Linked DNA regions of Oryzias latipes. The protein of the gene in region 1 interacts with the protein of each later gene in a pairwise test. Links are inferred from orthologs where the notes say so. Each region holds a gene or a part of one and is shown in the gene's direction. Other genes may lie near its edges.

Region 1 (8,979 bases):
TTTTTTATCTCACATGACACCTTTTTTTCTTCTTTTATCCTTAAATATTACAACAACAACAAAAATTATCCTTAAATATTACATAAAAAAAATTATTTTCTTGTTTATTTAAAAAAAGGCCCCCCTAGAAGGTTTATGTCAAAATCTTGTCCTTTTAACCATGAGCACTGGATATTGAGAATTTGGCTCAATTGCATGGCAAGCTGACAAAGCATCTGAGGATGCCAGTTTGCTCATTTCCTGGTAAAATAAAATTAGCAAAATGCAACCAATAATATGGAAAGAAAAGATCCAATTAAAAAAATAATGTTTCCACTGTAACTGTTGATTTCTCTGCTGGAGTTTGAGGGTATTGTGGTTTTTAATAACCATATGAAAACTCAACAAAGTGACTTTCTTTTCCATTTTTGACTCAGAGTTTGGTGTCAGTTGTGCGTCTTATGATCTATGTTGGCGTAACATTTACTTTTCTAGTTTTGGAATACTCACACAGCTTTATCTTTTTTTCTAATATATATATTTATTTCTTGTTTTCTTAACACATTAACAAATGAAAACTCATCCACAGAACAAGAAAAAAACAAGAAACATTTTTCCCAAGAGTACAGGGACAAATTACACTTGCAAGAATTCATAATAAACCCATTCAAAAAATATATTAAAAAAAATATGAAGTTGAAAATAAAATAAATACGTTGTTACTTTAAATGTTAAAGCACAAATACTTTCTTAATAATTGTGCTAATGTCTAATCTGTCAATAACAGAAAAGGTTCCCAGGTCTTAACAAAGAAATCATCTTTGTGATGCAGTCAACAAGTCATATAATCTAGGTAGACATAGTTTAATACAACTTTCTGCCATTTTGACCTAAAGGGAAACAGGTTTATCTCTTAAGATAATTTCATTTTCTTTATAAAGCAAACAAAATATTCACAAAATGATTTTTTAAGGATCATTAAAAGTTATCTAAGTTCTTAAGTTACTCATTAATTACATTTCTATTGTACTTTGTAACATATTAGTTGTTATTAATAATAAGAAATTGCATTGTTTGCTTTCCGTTAGAAGATTTTTGTTAAAGTAAAGCCACACATTTGTTGCAAACATTTCACGAGAGCATCAGTCAAGCAGTCAATACGTTTGCTGTTAGTTTGGAAATAAACAGGTATGCTGCTCAGTGCACCTTGTTCAGAGTAAATATTTATCTAAAAATAAACCCCACACAGGCAAACCATTTTTTGCCTCCACCCTTTTGCCACCCTCACCCCCTCCTGATGTTTGGGCAAACACAAACAGGGTTGGAGCCACTGGAGGGAGAGAACCCAGACAGGCATACACAGGGGTAGTATAAAGATATATTCCTCTCCAGTGTCTTTCGGTTCTTTTTACAGCAGTACATGGTGTGTACCAGAGTCATGGCTCATCTAGCTGCGCCTGTCCTCCTTCTCAGCTTTTCCTTGCTTTGCTGCAGCAGTCCATCTCGTACCAGGAAGGCCATTTCTCCCAGACAGGCTGGAGGTATAGGCTTAAGCCACTTATTCTTCATGAATCCATGTTTGTCGGGGCTGATTTGATTGTTTTCTTGTCGGCATGCAGCTGAGGATGATGATGTAAAGTCGCAGATTGAGAAGTTGTGGCAAGAAGTACATTTACTGAAGGAGAAGCAGGCGTTGCAGACAGGTAAGACCCTGAACATTTGTGAATGAATAAATTAGGACAGTTGGTAAAATGCTTGAATCATATATAAGATGCTATTTATAATGATTACTAATGCTGTCATGCCAAACCATATTTTAGAAATTAAGAGTAATAATTAATTCAACTAAATCTATCCTCAACTTTTTTTTGTTTATCACCACTGGAGGGCAGCAGCACACATTATTTAAGTAAAAAGCAGTTAACTGAACGTCACATTGGAAAATGTGAACACAATTGGTTTCAGATTTATTTTGGATAATTTTGTAACTAATGAGTAAACGGTGTGTCAAACAACAATATTACAGCTGAGTTCTCACCTAAAAGAAGTTATATGTGTTTCCAGTGTGTCTGCGGGGCATCAAAGTACACAGGAAGTGCTATCTTACAATTGAGGAACCCAAGCATTTTCATGATGCAAATGAGGACTGCATCGCTCAGGGAGGAACTCTGGCAACGCCACGAGACATGATGGAAAACGGCGACTTGAGAAATTATGCAAAGAGGAGTGCCCCAGGATCAAGTGAGTTTTGGATTGGTGTGTCAGACATAGTGAAGGAAGGTCAGTATGTTGATGTCAACAGCATGCCAGTCAGCTACTTCAACTGGGATCGCTCCAAGAAGCAGCCCACAGGAACGAAGAGGGAGAGCTGTGTTGCTCTTTCAGTGGCAGCACAAGGAAAGTGGCAGGACGAGGTGTGCCGCAGCCTGAAGAAGTACATCTGTGAATTTGTAATACCCTGAAAGAGGCAGCACTGAGTCATTTGGGATTAACAAAATGTAATTATTATTAAAAGTTAACATTTTTCAAAACATTTTAACTTTGATCTATGTATTTCTTAAAATTTCAAGCCACTTTTTTCTGTTTGCCTGTATGATTTCCAGTTTTGGTGACGTCTGTACAGAACATGACGTTACTGCTTAACATGTGAACCTGACTGTGGAAGATCAACACAAAGGAAACAACAATACATAGTGACTTGAGCTTTAACAAACTTAACCATGACTTGGAGAAGCAAAACCTGAAATATGACAGAACAAAAGAGTGACAACAAAAAATGGTGCAACCAAAACCATGGTTGAGTGGTATTAAATGAAGAAATCAGTTGTATTATTTTAAGACAAACCCTGTGTGCTCACTGTGCAGTGGGGGAAAAGCTACAACAGAAACTGAGCAAGAAAATTTAGGCACAAAAATGATTGAAGAACAAAACCAATAAATCTAAACCGAAAGGATACAAATTCTCACAGACGTTGCTAATCTGGAGATAGATGTCTTTAATTTTAAGAAAAAATGGTTTTAGAATACACCCACTGAACTGTTAGAATGATACATAACAACAAACCCATTAAAAAAAAATTACTTTTATGGACCGTATTGAAGACAAAGAATATTTAAATAGCATGCTTTAAAATCTGTATCTGATATTTTAAAGATATCCAAACATTACATCCATTTGGTAAAACCCATTTTAAAAATTCCATTATAAAAAATGGAACTGACATGACAAGTTTTTTTTTTTGCTAAGTTTACTATTATTTTTGTTTTGATTGTTTGAAATAAAGCATTTCTGAATTCAAATTCCTTTGGTTATTCATTTTGTCTGTTTTTTTTTTGTTTTTATGATTTTTTCCTGCCTTTTCTGTAGTAAAAAATAACCCACCAAAAAGTTAGTTCTTTCTTAACCTTGGAGTTGGGTTATTTTTAATCTATAAAGTTATTAGTGTATACAACACATTTAACCTATACTTAATTATCTTGCAAGAACTACAAGGAATCTGGAAAACTTTGCTTGCACTGTTCAATACCCAGTCACACTATTTTTTGTCTAAACATGTCCTGGACTGATATTAGCTCTGTTGAATCCAATCGTATCGTTCATAATGAACCACCATTGATTATGAATCATATCAGCAACCACAAATTATGAAATGAAGCAATTCGTTTAAATAAATCGTTATGCTCCTAATTGACATGAATGAAAAATGTATTTAAATGAAGAGGAAAATCATTCAGTGACAAATGTTCTTCATATAGATGAAATGACCTCGTATTAATGAGCTTTATATTTTTCTTGTTAAGAAAATACATTTCTTAATTGACTGTACACACCTTTAACAATGCCATATCTGCAAAAGCCAGTGAAAACAGACATATTTTAGGCAGTGATTTTTAATTTTTATTTTTTTTTTATTTTTATTTAATCTAATAAATCAGATGTATTAAAATGTAAGAGTTTGACAAATTCATCAGTGACTGTTTACTTCCTGTCAGCGCCATCACGCACGCTCTGGGATGTGATGTGACGTCAAAGCCTCCGAGTGGGGTGAAGTCTCGCGGAGAAACAGACCGGCCATTTTTCTTCAGTTGGAGTAGGACAGTTCACGCTCTGGCAGTGAAGCTGACAGTGTCGCGATCACTTTGATAAGCTTGCAACTTTTGACAAGTTGAATTTTTGTGTCCAAGCATCTAAATTGACAACAAACTGAAAACAAACCATGTTTGTGTGCACTGCTGGAGAGTTTATCCGCTGACATCTTTCTCCGGATAGATGCTCTAAAAACTCGGTACAAATGGAAATGGTGCCTAGCGAGGAGACCCAGTTCGTACCCAAAGAGGTGAGGTTAATACAAAACCATGTTTAGATCGGAGATGTTCTGTTTGTGTACTAGCTGCCACCTTGCCACCCCGGTCACACAAATAATTAAACTTTTGCTCTACTTTAGGAGTTATGGTCTTGGTGTGTCGGGTAGTGGCCAACTCAACTGCTAACAGTTAGCTTAAAATGACTTGAACGGCCTATGATGACACGGCTAACTGCTGCTATTAGCAGCTAGTTTTGCTTTAGCTTAGATAGATGAAGTAGATTGAGTTTTGGTTGCTTCATTTTAAATATGTTGTGTGGTTAGTTGGGTCGTCCTCAGTATAGGTTCTTAGCAGTAGAAATGTTCTAAAATTGTAAAATCTTGACACTTGACACTGTGCGATTTAAAAACCGAGAGGCAATTCATATTTGTCAACATTAGTTAGCTAAACTTGCATAACGTTAGCTTGTAGGATTGACTTGCTAAGGTCTTTAATCTGGTCAGTTGCAACTGTAACTGACAATAATTGGTTAAAAACAAACATTTATATATTTTTTAATTTACTTCTGAAACAATAGCAACCCAATAACGTAACCTGTCCGAAAAAGTCAAAGCATTGCCGTACTTTTTAAATTCAAACGGATTTATTTACTTTGATTCTGACTGTCTTTATAGTTTATGATTATGTTGAGAAAAGTAAATTGTTCACCAAGAAGCTTAGTATATTAACAGAACTTTTGCTAATAATATGATGCTGTCACTTATGAAAAATGTCTGGTATTTTGATAAATTAAATCCGACAAAGCTAGGTTTAGGTTTAGGGACTTTGCTGTTGATTGCTCGTTTATGGTCTGTTTGCTGACCGACATGTTCATGAAAGCACCTGTTTCCATGTTTAATCGTGTTATTTCATGTTTAACGGGACTAATTAACTCTCATTATTTATTTAGTCTTCGTTGATAAGACATAGAAGCAAGCTTACAAACAATGCAATGATAAAGTATACGTACGACCCATTATGGCAGTTTGATTTACTTGACTTAATGATGATGCAGCTCTAACCCAGGCGATAGTCACTTTTAAAATCATATTACCCAACGAATAACATTATGTTTTTGTAAACAAATTACACTGCACATTATTTTTTATATCTTACAATTCAAACATGACTATCATTTTGGCAATGTAATTCTTATTCAATTTTATTATGTTGTGTTATATATTCATTCTTGTGTGAATATATTCAACTGTGCTGGTTTTTGTGTGGAAATGCTAAACAACTTAAAATGACTGGAAATTGATGGATATTTAATGAAAGAAAAAAAACAGAAAAACCTGAGCTTTTTTCCCATTTAACACTAAATCAACACACTGTTTTAAGCCTTACAAAAATAATGATGAAGAAAAGGTTACAACACTTTTATTGTATTTCTTTAAATAAAAATCTTGTTTTTTTGGATGAAAAAAAAAACATTTAGGCCAATGTTGCCTCATTGGAAGGTTTTTGGGAAATGTTTAAATAATTAATAATCTGAATTTATATTTTCAAAGTTAACAGTTTCATATCCCCCTCTCATTCTATTGTTTACAGTTCAGCTTTAATAATATAAAATGATGTTGTGTTTTCCTCTATAGAAATCTTTTCCTTTTTATCGAACAGTAGTAAAAAAAAAGGCGTTTGCCTCATTAGTTATTACTTAGATCTACAAATGCCGCCTGTCTTTCTTGTTACATGTGGCTTCATGTTAGCACCTTGTGATTATATCCATGATAAAAATAACCTTTAATCTCATAATACACTTGTGTGTTGTCAGCTGCAGCTTCTGTATAAGACCTGGCAGTCACATTTTGCCAACATAACAAACCTCCCAAAGAGGTGGCAAAAACTAGATTAAAATTCTTTCACTGCAATATTTATTTCAATTTTCAAGATGTTAAAAAGACGAGGCAGATCAAAAGTGATTCCTGTTCCTGGATTGTTTTTACTTTTGATAGTATTACTTTCTAAATGTTACCTTTATTTATGTGTTTCATTTGTTGTGGGTGTTTTAATTTACACAATTACACATTTGCACTTTTTGTTAGCGGGTGTTTTGGAGTTGCAGCCAGAATATCTTTGATGAAATAAAGAGACGCTCTCAGGTGAAGTGTACAACTAAGCTTGGTGTTGAAAAGTTGCATGAAAAACATGCCTGTGTTTACCAACAAACAAAAATTGAAGAAGGATCCCATTCAGGTCATTAGAGGTGCTAGTTTCTAACATGGATGTTGAGATACATGGAGCTTGTGATTACAATCTGTTTGGAATGAACATTACAAATGATTGGCCTTTGGGTCTTGTTGAAATAAACCATCCTTTAGAAATTCTGAACTCTCTAATATGAAATAAGTAGAAGATATCTGAAATTTCTGTTCCATTATAAAGACATTAAACACTTTAAATAGTTCTTAATTTAGAAGAATCACTCTCTACTAGTTTTATCAAATTAAGTCTACAGTTAAAACAATTATATTTTACTTTTAATTAGACAGATAACAGTTAAAAAAATGCCTTTTTTTCTTTCTTTTTTATTTAGTAAACTTAGTCATGTACCATCTCATTTATTTTTCTTTTCTTGGACTTTTTTGTGTCCATTTCTTGATCAATGCAAAGTATACCTTATACGGGTGTATTGTTTTTTTGTTTTTTTTTATAAACAATACACCCGGAAGTATGTCATACTTAAATGTTGACATGAGCTGCTTTTTCCCCTTGAAACTCAGGTTCCACCTGAAAAACAAACAGTTTGTGAAGTAAAGCATGAATCAACAGCTGCATGGCATGCTTTCAGTTTTAGAGATTTGACCTCTAACACTTTATTTCTTCTGGATTTAGCATCTCACGGTTTTCTTATCTGGTTGTTAGTAAAGTGTCAACTGAAGTGTGCGTCTTAATATTCTTTTAACCCCTGAAAACCACAGTGGTTGGTAATTAAGTTGACTAGTTTGTGTGAATGGCTGGTGTAATGATTCATTTTGAACAACAATTTGATTCACATCATAATTTGTGATTGCTTATACGATTCATAGTCGATATAGGTTCATTTTGATTGATCCGATTCACTGATGTAAAATCCATCCAGAACATCTTTAGCCAAAACTTTAACCAGTGTGACTCAGAGATAAATACCTGGAACTGAACAGTGCTGGTGAAGTTTTCCAGATTTCTTGTATTCCTTGTAAGATAATCAAGTTAAAATTAAATATGTGTATTAATACAATACAATACAATACAATACAACACAATATAATATAATAGGCAAAAATTTATGGCAAATCTATTTAAAATTTGCCATTAATTATATTTAACTTATTGTGGGTAATTAGTTTTCCAAATTACATACTTTAAAAAAGATTCAGATGCTTTGTACTCAGTCTAACATATTGTCATTACAGGCATGAAGTGTTGCTACATTGGTTGAGTTTTGTATTGTATATTAGCTGACGATTGGATTTAAAAGACAGCTTTTAAACAACTAACTGGCTGTTTTTTCAACAAAATGCTGGATCATATATGAGTACATCAAAGGAATGTACGTCCTCCTGATTTTCAGATCCACAATGCAGCTGAGGAGCCCAGGGTGCTGTGCATCATTCAGGACACCACCAGTGCAAAGACGGTCAATGAGAGGCTGACCCTCAACTTGCCAGCTTCCACCACTCTCTCCAAACTCTACGAGGACGTCGCTCACAAAGCTGGATACATAAAAGGCACTTTTGACCTCGCCTGGGGAAACGTTCTGGACATGGTGAGAAAAGTCACTCTAATGGCTGAATATTTTTGGAGAATTAACAATGATGAGGATGTTAGTGGATTTTTGTTTCTATAAATGTTTTTTCTTTCTTTCGTTTATTCCTCTGCACAACAAAACACCACATCGATTTAACAGTTGTGGATAATATATAAATGGCGAAATTCACAACAAGTATTTTTTTGTGAGTTTTTATCTATTAGGAGAGACTGGATTTTTCATGAGCTAATTAAATGAAAAAAAAATAGAAAAGGATTCTGTTGTTTCTGTCCATGACACAAACATGTGAAAAAATAAAAATACACTAGAACACAGTGCAAATACATTTTACTAAACAGCATGGATAAATGCGGGCCAGATGGTGCAAAATAATGCTCTTGTGGTCTCCCATTTTGTAGGGTCACGTAGGCCAACTATTATGACTGTGTTCTTTTATAGAAAAGCTGTTTGGCAACTGATTTTCAGAGTTTGTTACGTTCCTTGGATGTTTTGTGAAACAGACTTCAAATCTTTAAACTACTCTTGATTTGTTAGGCTTAAATTAAACTAGCATCAGGTATTGAATGATTGATCAGGGCAGTGTCTTCTATCACAAGACATTTTTACTGTTCCATCCATCCATCTTCTAAACCCGTTTTGTCCCTTTCGGTGTCATGGGGCTGCCAGTGCTCAACTCTGGCACTCATGGGCCAAGGCAGGGGACATCCTGGACAGGTCACCAGTCTGTCGCAATGTCACATGATATCACACCCATAAACACTCGCATTCACATCAAGAGACAATTTAGAGTAGCCGGTTAACCTATGAAGCATGTTTTTAGACGGTGGGAGGAAGTCCCCGGAGAAAACCCACACATGCAAACTCCACGCAGAAAAGACCCCCAATAGTTTTGCTGTTGATTTTTA
Region 2 (8,879 bases), on another chromosome or scaffold:
TTTCCGCCTGCACGACAGGTGGCGCTAACAAGCTAACAGTTCATTTTTAACAGGATGCAACACTTAAACCAGACAGTGGACGTTTTAAAGCGTGTTGTGTTTTTCAAGCTTTTAATGTTTAAATAACACCCTTTCTTAGAGTCGACATCATTGCAGGAGATTTTACGTGGAACTGGAAAATGATTTGTAATTCCACGTTAGCATGGCTTTAAAACACTTAAAGTTCAGTTTAAACGTCTGAACTGTGTCATCTTTTCAGGTAAATTCAGTTTTCCTTCGACTTGTCTTTACCCTATTCCGCTTTACTCAGTGTCACCTTTAACACGTTTGAGATTAATGTGTGACGCACACCTACAGTAGCACACACCAGACAATCTGATTGTTTATTGTTAGTTTATTTTTTTCCTCATAATAACTAGTTTCATGCAGTGAATATGAGATGCTGCTTGTTTGTCATTTCCCCCATAAACAGGGGTTTTCTCCTTTATTTCGGCTTGACTGCAGTTCTGCAGACAGACTTGGACGTGTTCCTGCAGATGTTGTTTCTGCAGATGTTGCAGTGGCACTGAAACTCCCCCTAGCTGTCCCACCGGGGTGAACTGTTGCCCCGACAGTCCTCTATCCTCTGCAGGATGATCCGGCAGCTCTTCATCTTGTCCTCGAAGGGCGACCCCCTCCTCTTCAGAGACTGTATCCTTCTCAGCTCTCACCTGCTTCTGTTTAAATCATCCTGCTTTGAAGTTCAGTTCTGCTATACAGTGAAAGATCTCCCCTTTGGGACAGACTTACTCTAGCAGGGGTACTTGTACTTGCCCATCTGGGGTACATTTTTTGCATCAGTCAGACACAGGTGTTTTAAAGTTGTTATTTTCAATGGTGATGGGCTTCTCTGAAGGCCTAAAAATTATCTGAATCATGTGTTAATTAGAGTTCGTCCATGCATTCTCATTAAATCATTCCAAATGGTCTGTCCATTCCTCTTTTAGTGTGTTTATGATGGTGATGCTGCTTCCAGACGTATTTTCACATTGGAACATTTAACCAATCACATTCCAGCTCTCCTTTGTTGCCAGGCAGGGTCAGAGCTACAGAGGCCTTCACTATCTGTTCTGCAGGCCCTCTAATGCAAAATCAATGTCGGAGATTAATTTCCCTCATCCAATCAGATTTTGAGTTGGTGTCAGCAGGGCCTTCTAGCAGGCTTAGACAGCGTCACAGTATTCAGACCCTCTGATTGGACAGAAGTTTCAGGAAGTCACATGCTTCCTTGTCCAGTTTGACACAGAGACATGGAGAATGATCTGTTCCCTCTCAGTTTATAGCAGACTGACTGTAATGTACTCCATGGAGGATTTAGCAGGAAAATCTCCCACTGATCTCCATCAGAAAAATCTGAGTGAATCGTGACCCTCCCCGTGTCCACTGTGTCTGTCAAGCTGACAGTTTGAGCTGGTTCATGAGGGGTTGAGTGATTCAGACGTAGCACTGCTGAAGGCCCAGGTGTGTTATGCACGGTCCACCAAAGGTTTTCAATAATAACGGTGGTTTTTATCATAACCAGATAATTGGGTTGGGGGTGGGGGGGTCTTTGCTGGGAACATCCTTCAAACTGGACGTTTCTCCCATCCTGAGCGACCCACAGCTTCTCTGTTCTCGCTGCTTTGGGCAAACAAAGCCAGTAATGGGATCCACGGCTGAAAAGAGGCGGAGCATCCCTGCTCTGGAGGACATGCGCCTCAGTGCATCCGTCAGGCATGAGTCTGAGTCTACCTTGACCCTGGCTCCAGTCCGCGGAGAGACGGGGGACGATGATGTGGTCAACGTTTTCTACCAGAAGGTCACGGCGCTACCTGGAGACCAGCCTCCGGTTGTCATGGTAACCTGTCCTCCAGCGGAACTTTTCTATTTGTTGCAGCTCTTATGGAGCACGTTTAGATGCCCTTAAGGGCCGTGTGTACGCTAACAAACTCTGAAACTCCGTGAACATGGCAGCGCTAACAATTGTAGTGTGAATGTGTCTTTAAAATAAACGACACAATGCTGCTGTTTGAACTCAGGGAGGAAGAGACTCTTGTTGCCTTGGATACACAACACTACCCTGAGATCCCAGACGTAAAACTACAAAGCATTCAGATGGCGTGGATGCATGCTGGGAAGGATTGTATTTTCAGGGGGAAATCTACTTTTGTTATTTAATAAATTTGGTTATTGGATGAAGGAGTTGGGATTATATCACCAAGTAAAATAATCCCAGATCTGCAGAAATAATGTCTGGCTGCTTTTATAAGTCTGCGCTTTTCTCCTGCAGACGCTCAGAGACCTCCACTTCCTGCACATCAGGCAGGGGGGCCTCTACTGGGTCGCCACCACTTCAGCCGACTCCTCGCCCTTCACCATCGTTGAATTCCTGAACAGGTTTGGTGGTCAGCTTCCTGGACCCTCCAGCAGAGCGCGCTGGCTTCTGCTGTCAGGACTCTGACGCTCTGTGTTTCCAGGCTGGCGGCGCTAGTGAAGGATTACTGCGGCGGCCTGTCAGAGAAGTCGGTTCAGATGAACTTTGCTCTGATCTATGAGCTGCTGGACGAGGTTCTGGTGAGTGCCTGACTTTGGGGCTGTGGTGGAGCGTCCTTCCTGCTGAATTTTGTTGCTTTTGTTGGTCACCAGATGAGATGTTTGGGTGAAGCTGGGTAGCTGTGTTCTGCAGTGGAACCAGCTTTGACTCCTGTTTGTTTAAAGTGTCAACATTCAGAAACACAGAGCAGCAGGCGGGACAGTGAACGCATCACCGCCTGCACAAACCAGTGAAAGTGGAGGACATTTTAGGTTAAATGAGTTTGAGGAGCTCAGCTAAAGATGCGTCTCTTGTGTGGTTATCATGCAGGTTTCCTGTCCGTCCGTCTGTCTGTGTTGCAGGACTACGGTCACATCCAGACCACCTCCTCTGACATGCTGAAGAACTTCTTGCAGTCGGAGGCGGTCAGCTCACGTCCGTTCAGCCTCTTCGACCTCAGTAACGTGGGCCTGGTAGGCTGCTTCTCATGGGTTTACTGTCATGCTGTGTTTACACCGGGCTCGGAAATGTGTGTTTGAGTGACTACTTCATATCCAAAGTCTATGTAAACGCACATATAGGCGTGTTTCAGGCTTCAAAAATATGGCATTCTCTACATACAAAACACGGTGACATTGAACAGTTTGACCAAGCAGGAACTCAGAGTTGGTGGTGACATATGCATTGCACCCTTTTTAAAACACGGAAGTGCTGACCGTTTGAACATGGATCACGAAGAAGAAACTTTTAATAGCAGCTTTTGCTGGCTGGAACTTCATGTCACCAAGTCTAAGTCTGAATTCCCACCCTAACCTCTAACTACTAAAAAGCTATATACCCCAGATTTTAAAAGCAATTCGGACACCGTGCTAACTACTTCTATTTTTTTTTAACGGCGGATATGACGTCATTAATTTAATGAAGTTCAAATCTAATTAATATGAGCGTTTTGTGGTGATTATTTATGCGTCCACCGTCTTCTGAAGATAAAAACGCTGATGATTTATTTAAAAAATGGTTCCAGCGTAATGCATTGTGGTCTATGTTCACTGATCTAGTGAGCATCGATCCACACTGCTGTTTCGCAGAGACTTCTGGGAAATTTCTAGGGCACTCGATCTTTGGAATTGTAGATTCGGACGGCTCTACAAAATGGCGAGCGCACTATATAGTGCACACAACCCAAGTCTTTCATAAATTAGAATAGAGCTGTGAAAGAAAAAGGCTGGAGCTAGATTTGCGGAATTTGCACGGCTTTGACATTTCACACCAAGCCTCTTCCAACTGTGAGCGCATGCACAATCTGTTAGCCACAGACCCGTGTGCACCGTATGCAAAAAGCGTGTTCAAAAAGCCACGGTTCTTGAAAGCGCCGCACACACCTGTTGTGTGTGTAGCTTTAGCGCGGCTCCTGCTCACGTCGTGGTGGTTTCTGTGCAGTTCGGCGCAGACACTCAGCAGAGCAAAGTGGCTCCGAGCTCCGCAGCTGCCAGACCCATCCAGGCCAGCAGGGAGCAGGTAAGGTCACTTCTCCATGGAGGTGTCTGACCCCCGCCTTTCCACGAAGTCATCCGACTCCAACCGTCTCTGTCTTCCAGGGGGGGCGGAGCGAGATATTTGCGGACGTGGTGGAGCGGATGTCGGTGGTGGTGGGCTCCAATGTGAGTGCATCAGCTGAGGCTTTCTGCAGGTCCTGAGGCGTTTCGGGTTCAGAAAAACCACAAGCACGGATCCAGCGGTCCTCAAAGTTCTGACCGGAGTATGGATCTAAGTGGAACTCTGGTCCTGGTGGGAGAGACGGTGTCTATGTGGGCCTCTTCAGAGCTCACTTCTTCACAGGTTTTCATGGCAGGATATGACATCACCAGCCCTGCCCTTCCTGAAAATAGACATACAATTCAGTTTATCTATAAAACTGGTCATTCTATTGTCCAACCAAGCAGAATCACAAGGTTAGGATTATTATAATCCAGTTTAGTGTAGATTATTCAAAGAAAACAGAACTGTGTGTGATCAGAGGATTAGACAGCAGGAAGTCCTGCTAAAGCCGACACGGTAACTACTGAGCTCTCTAAATTTCAGGAGGATTTATTTTTGGTGAATTTTTTATTTTATTTGTTGGGTTAGGGTTAGGGGTTAGGGTTTGTTGTGTTGTTCAACACCTGAAAACAGAGACGCTCTGTCGTGTTGGGAAAAATGTCGGTCTGTGAGATGCTCAAGCCAGCGGCAGCTGCCAAAAAACCTGCCGCCTTGTTTTACAAACAAGAAAAAGAAAAAACTTCATGCTGGCTGCTCTGTTCTGCAGGGGGTTCTGATGAAGGCGGACGTGGAGGGGGAAATCCGAGTCAAGTGCTTTATGCCCAGCTGCTCAGGTGAGTGAGAGTCCGGGTCACCTGAGGGTCACCTGGAGTGAACCTTCACTCACGTGTCGGTCTGCTTTCAGAGATCCGGATCGGCCTGAACGAGGAGCTCAGCATCGGGAAGTCCCAGCTCAGAGGTAAGGTCTCCACGATTCTTCAACGTTCAGGTCAAATGGAAGCAGGAGGGGGGTCTCCTCATGCTTCAGCGCGGTCCTAACTGTTGGAGGGCGGGGCATGACTTGGTTGGGGTGGGTCATAGTAACCTTTTCAGTGGGTTTATTTCTTGTTTTTTAAAAGTTCCAGCTTTGAACCGAACAAGCTGACGGTTCCCGTTTAGACTGTGGCTCTGCAGAGGAGCTGACCTCAGGTTCTGGTGGGTCTTCAGGTTATGGAGCGGCGGTTCGAGTGGACAGGTGCAGTTTCCACCAGGGCGTGCGACTGGACGAGTTCGACAGCCACCGGATCCTCCGGCTCTGCCCCAGCCAGGGAGAGGTGAGGCGGTCCAGTGACCCGGCAGGAATGTGTGGTGACTGTTTCTGTACAGACCCGTTAATGCGTTCCCACTTTGTTCTGTTAGGCAAATATCTAAGAGATGCTTTATCATTGAAAATCATCTCATTACCAAAGTTTATTCTGTTCCATTTCTGCTCTTCATCTGTCAGTGCTGAATCCTCCTCTTCCTCTGCCCCCCCCCCCCCCCGCAGCAAACCGTGATGCAGTACCAGCTGACCGACGACCTGCCGACCGCGCCGCCTTTCCGGCTTTTCCCAACCATTGAGCGAGATGGCACTGGAAGGTGAGACCGAACCTGCGGACCACTTTAATTATGAGGTTCAGACTAGAGCCCTGCGCGGGACTATTTTCTTCATCCCGCTCCCGCCCGCACCCGCCAAATTTCTGACCAATCCCGCCCGCTCCCGCAACGTATGCGTTACACTCCCGCCCGCACCCGCAATATGTATGTCCACTCCCGCCCGCACCCGCAAAACTCATAGAATTTAGTCCCGCACAGTAATAGAGATGCATTGATTTTGTATCGTCTCCCGTCCCGCAGAAAAAAACACGTATTTTTATTGATATTATTACAGAGATTCATGTCCCTCCTCCAGTCTCATCTTTTCATGCATTCCTCTTTTGTGTAATGTGCAACATAATCATTAAATATATTTTCACAAATCCTGTTCGGTAAAAAAAGTGTGCGTGTGTCCGCGACATTGTTTGTCCACGACAGACGGCCTGAAGCGCGCTGAACCAGCTGGGATAGATGCAGGTCAAAGTCATTTGCAGGAAGAAAAACATTGTAATGGTTCAACAGAGCTGAAAATCTATGAATTAATTTTTTCCTGACGGAAAAATACTTTTTTTTTTTTTTAGCTTCAGCCTTTTCCCGTTTTTGCTGTTTTGCCCCTCAGTGGGGCATTGGCACGCAGATCTGAACACGATGAACCTCGTTTGAGGTTCTTTTCTGCTTCATCAACTGACATCATGTCCCTGTCAGGAAACCTCTGCTTCTTCCTTATCCCGCGCAGTGTTGCCAGATAGATTGACAGCTCTTTCATCCTTCTGTTGCGCTAGAGCGTTCCGACTAACGTGTTAACCTGCTATGACCGTATTTTGCGCTCTCTGTGTAGAACACACTGGGAGCGCGGGGAAAATAACTCTAAGCTGCAGAGGATGTGAACAGGTGAACAGGTAGAGAGGAAAAGCAGGTAAAGAGGCGGGGGAGGGGCTTTGGCTTCAAACTCTGTCAGAGAGATGGAAACACGGCGTCAGATTGAGACGCAGCTTTCACTGCGGGAGTTGAAGCAGAGACTTTCTCTGGGATGATTCTATGAACTCAAACATGGAAACATGATTATCAAGCAGAACTCTTTAAAATAATAAACCTGATCTCTCCACATTCTTCGTGTCTACCATGCATTGATGCACACATCGCTCCATGCAGCGATCAGACCAGAACTTTAGCTGATAGCTCCGCCCATACGCGACCGCGGTATCAGGCTTTAAAGAACACAATTTCTAAGAGGCGGGGCGGGGCGCTGCACACCCCCAACAACAGGTTAGATGACAGTGGCCATTGGGCGTCTCTACCTGGTGCCTTCACGGAGCTTCAGTACATAAGACTCCAACAGCCGCACAGCCTAACGTAGTCCGCTATTATACATTCATGAGATATTCATGGCAAAACTGATCCCGCAGAGTTTTTTTTTGCCGCCCGCAGTACAATTCAAACCGCCCAAACCCGCGAGATTTGCGTTGGGTCCCGCGGGACCCGGCGGGACCCAATCCCAATGCAGCCCTCTAGTTCAGACTCACAGATCAAATTGTAATCAGATTACAACGAGCCCTCATCACTCGCTGTAATTAAATATGGCAGCTGTTGCTAGGTAGATTTATGTTCTAACAGGGGCATTTCTATGATCACACCTGTATGGACTGTAACTCTTTCCTGCAGAAGAATCCCCTGGAAGCTTTTAGAACCGTGGAATTCAGACCTTTATGTTGGGGGGGTGCTGGGACGAGCTTCTGAAATCTTCCACAACTGTCAGGTTTTGTAAGAGCACAGCTGTCGTGCATGTGGCATTGGTGGGACTGCATAATTCCAGAGAAATGCTCTTACGTTGTGACCTCTGACCTGCGGGGGTCACAATATTTAGTGCGCCCGTGTGCCCTGTCTGTGACCCCTCTCCCTGTGACCATAATAAGTGACTTACCCCCCACCCCCTACAGGTTGATCCTGTTCTTGAAGCTCCGCTGTGATCTGCCCCCCAAGAGGTCAGTTCTCCTGCTGAACATGTGAGGAGGAGGAGGATGCGGATGATGATGATGATGATGTCACTGTTTTCTCTACAGCTCCGCCGTGAACGTGTGCGCCTCCGTCCCCGTCCCAAAAGGAGCTGTGAGGTAAGGCTTTCCATCCACACCTGGGGGGTGCAGATATTTGGACGTGGGGGGTTGTTTGTGTGAACTCTCTTCTGTGCTGTGGTCCAGTTTGTCTCAGGAGCTCAGCAGTCCGGATCAGAGCGCCGAGCTGCAGTCCCAGAACCGGGCCGTGGTCTGGCAGATCCCCCGTTTGGCCGGTGGAACGCAGCTGTCCGCCTTGTTTAAGGTGAGCCCCCCGCCCAGCACCAACTCCTGTCAACCCCCCCCTCAGAGCTCACATCAACCTCTCTCTGGCCCCCTGTCCCTCTGCTCTCAGCTGGACGTCCCGGGCCTCAGCTCGGCTTCCATGCTGGAGGTGGGTCCAGTCGGTCTGAGCTTCGAGTTGCCCAAGTTCACGGCCACTGGCCTGCAGATCCGCTTCCTGCGCCTGTCACCAGTGCAGCCGGCCCCATCGCAGCGCTGGGTCCGATATGTCACACACTCTGACTCCTACAGCATCCGGATCTGACCGCAGCGGCAAATGCTGACCGGAACCGAGTTACTCTGGGCGGCACCGCCTCTGTTGTGCCCGGATGGAGCTGCTTGTTACAGCTGTGCTCTGAAAAAGTTGAGAGGCTGAGTTTGTTCTATGAGCAGCCGCCGGTTCAGCTCTCTGCTCAGAACCAGGGGACAGATGAACCTGCCCCGTGGTTCTGCCCCTCCTCTTCCTCTGGAGCCCCACAGGAAACCCAGCAGCGCTGAGCGGGTGAAAATGACTTTCCGGATCTCAAAGGCGGATCTACAGGATGCAGTAAGGAAAATATCCTGGAAGAGCCTGGAAAAGGAGGAGGCATGTCTGACGTGCACCCGTTCAGCCGTGCTCAGCTTCAGAGCTATACTCGAGAACCAGCACACCAGAACAAAACCATCCACCGAAACCAAACACTGATCAGAAAAATGTCCTGAAGTCTGTCGTACGACTTATTGGGTCTATTTTAAATTCTCTTTTCACAAAGATGGACAAAACTGTTGATCCTCCCACAACAATCACTGAAAAATCCATAACTATCACTGAGGTGATCATAAACAAAATCTACTGAGTGAAA

What was found.
Region 2: the proteins of usp47 (region 1) and ap4m1 interact in binary tests that used the Homo sapiens proteins (3 or more experiments, as listed by UniProt). The two-hybrid records come from large-scale screens. The link is inferred for Oryzias latipes from reciprocal best matches to the Homo sapiens genes USP47 and AP4M1.

The regions. Positions count from the first base shown.
Region 1 is NC_019861.2:20,348,268-20,357,246, reverse strand, and holds the start of usp47 (ubiquitin carboxyl-terminal hydrolase 47), read left to right. Parts: upstream 1-4,020; 5' UTR 4,021-4,271; coding exon 4,272-4,316; intron 4,317-6,368; coding exon 6,369-6,425; intron 6,426-7,876; coding exon 7,877-8,071; intron 8,072-8,979. Other genes in the region: clec3a (C-type lectin domain family 3 member A), read left to right, coding at 1,400-1,520, 1,599-1,682, 2,044-2,441. UniProt on the Homo sapiens protein: Ubiquitin-specific protease that specifically deubiquitinates monoubiquitinated DNA polymerase beta (POLB), stabilizing POLB thereby playing a role in base-excision repair (BER). Acts as a regulator of cell growth and genome integrity.
Region 2 is NC_019872.2:23,460,411-23,469,289, reverse strand, and holds the start of ap4m1 (AP-4 complex subunit mu-1), read left to right. Parts: upstream 1-35; 5' UTR 36-259; intron 260-472; 5' UTR 473-632; coding exon 633-690; intron 691-1,787; coding exon 1,788-1,876; intron 1,877-2,308; coding exon 2,309-2,415; intron 2,416-2,495; coding exon 2,496-2,592; intron 2,593-2,913; coding exon 2,914-3,024; intron 3,025-3,991; coding exon 3,992-4,069; intron 4,070-4,149; coding exon 4,150-4,212; intron 4,213-4,856; coding exon 4,857-4,923; intron 4,924-4,994; coding exon 4,995-5,048; intron 5,049-5,296; coding exon 5,297-5,403; intron 5,404-5,615; coding exon 5,616-5,707; intron 5,708-7,641; coding exon 7,642-7,686; intron 7,687-7,764; coding exon 7,765-7,815; intron 7,816-7,902; coding exon 7,903-8,020; intron 8,021-8,110; coding exon 8,111-8,302; 3' UTR 8,303-8,879. UniProt on the Homo sapiens protein: Component of the adaptor protein complex 4 (AP-4). Adaptor protein complexes are vesicle coat components involved both in vesicle formation and cargo selection. They control the vesicular transport of proteins in different trafficking pathways.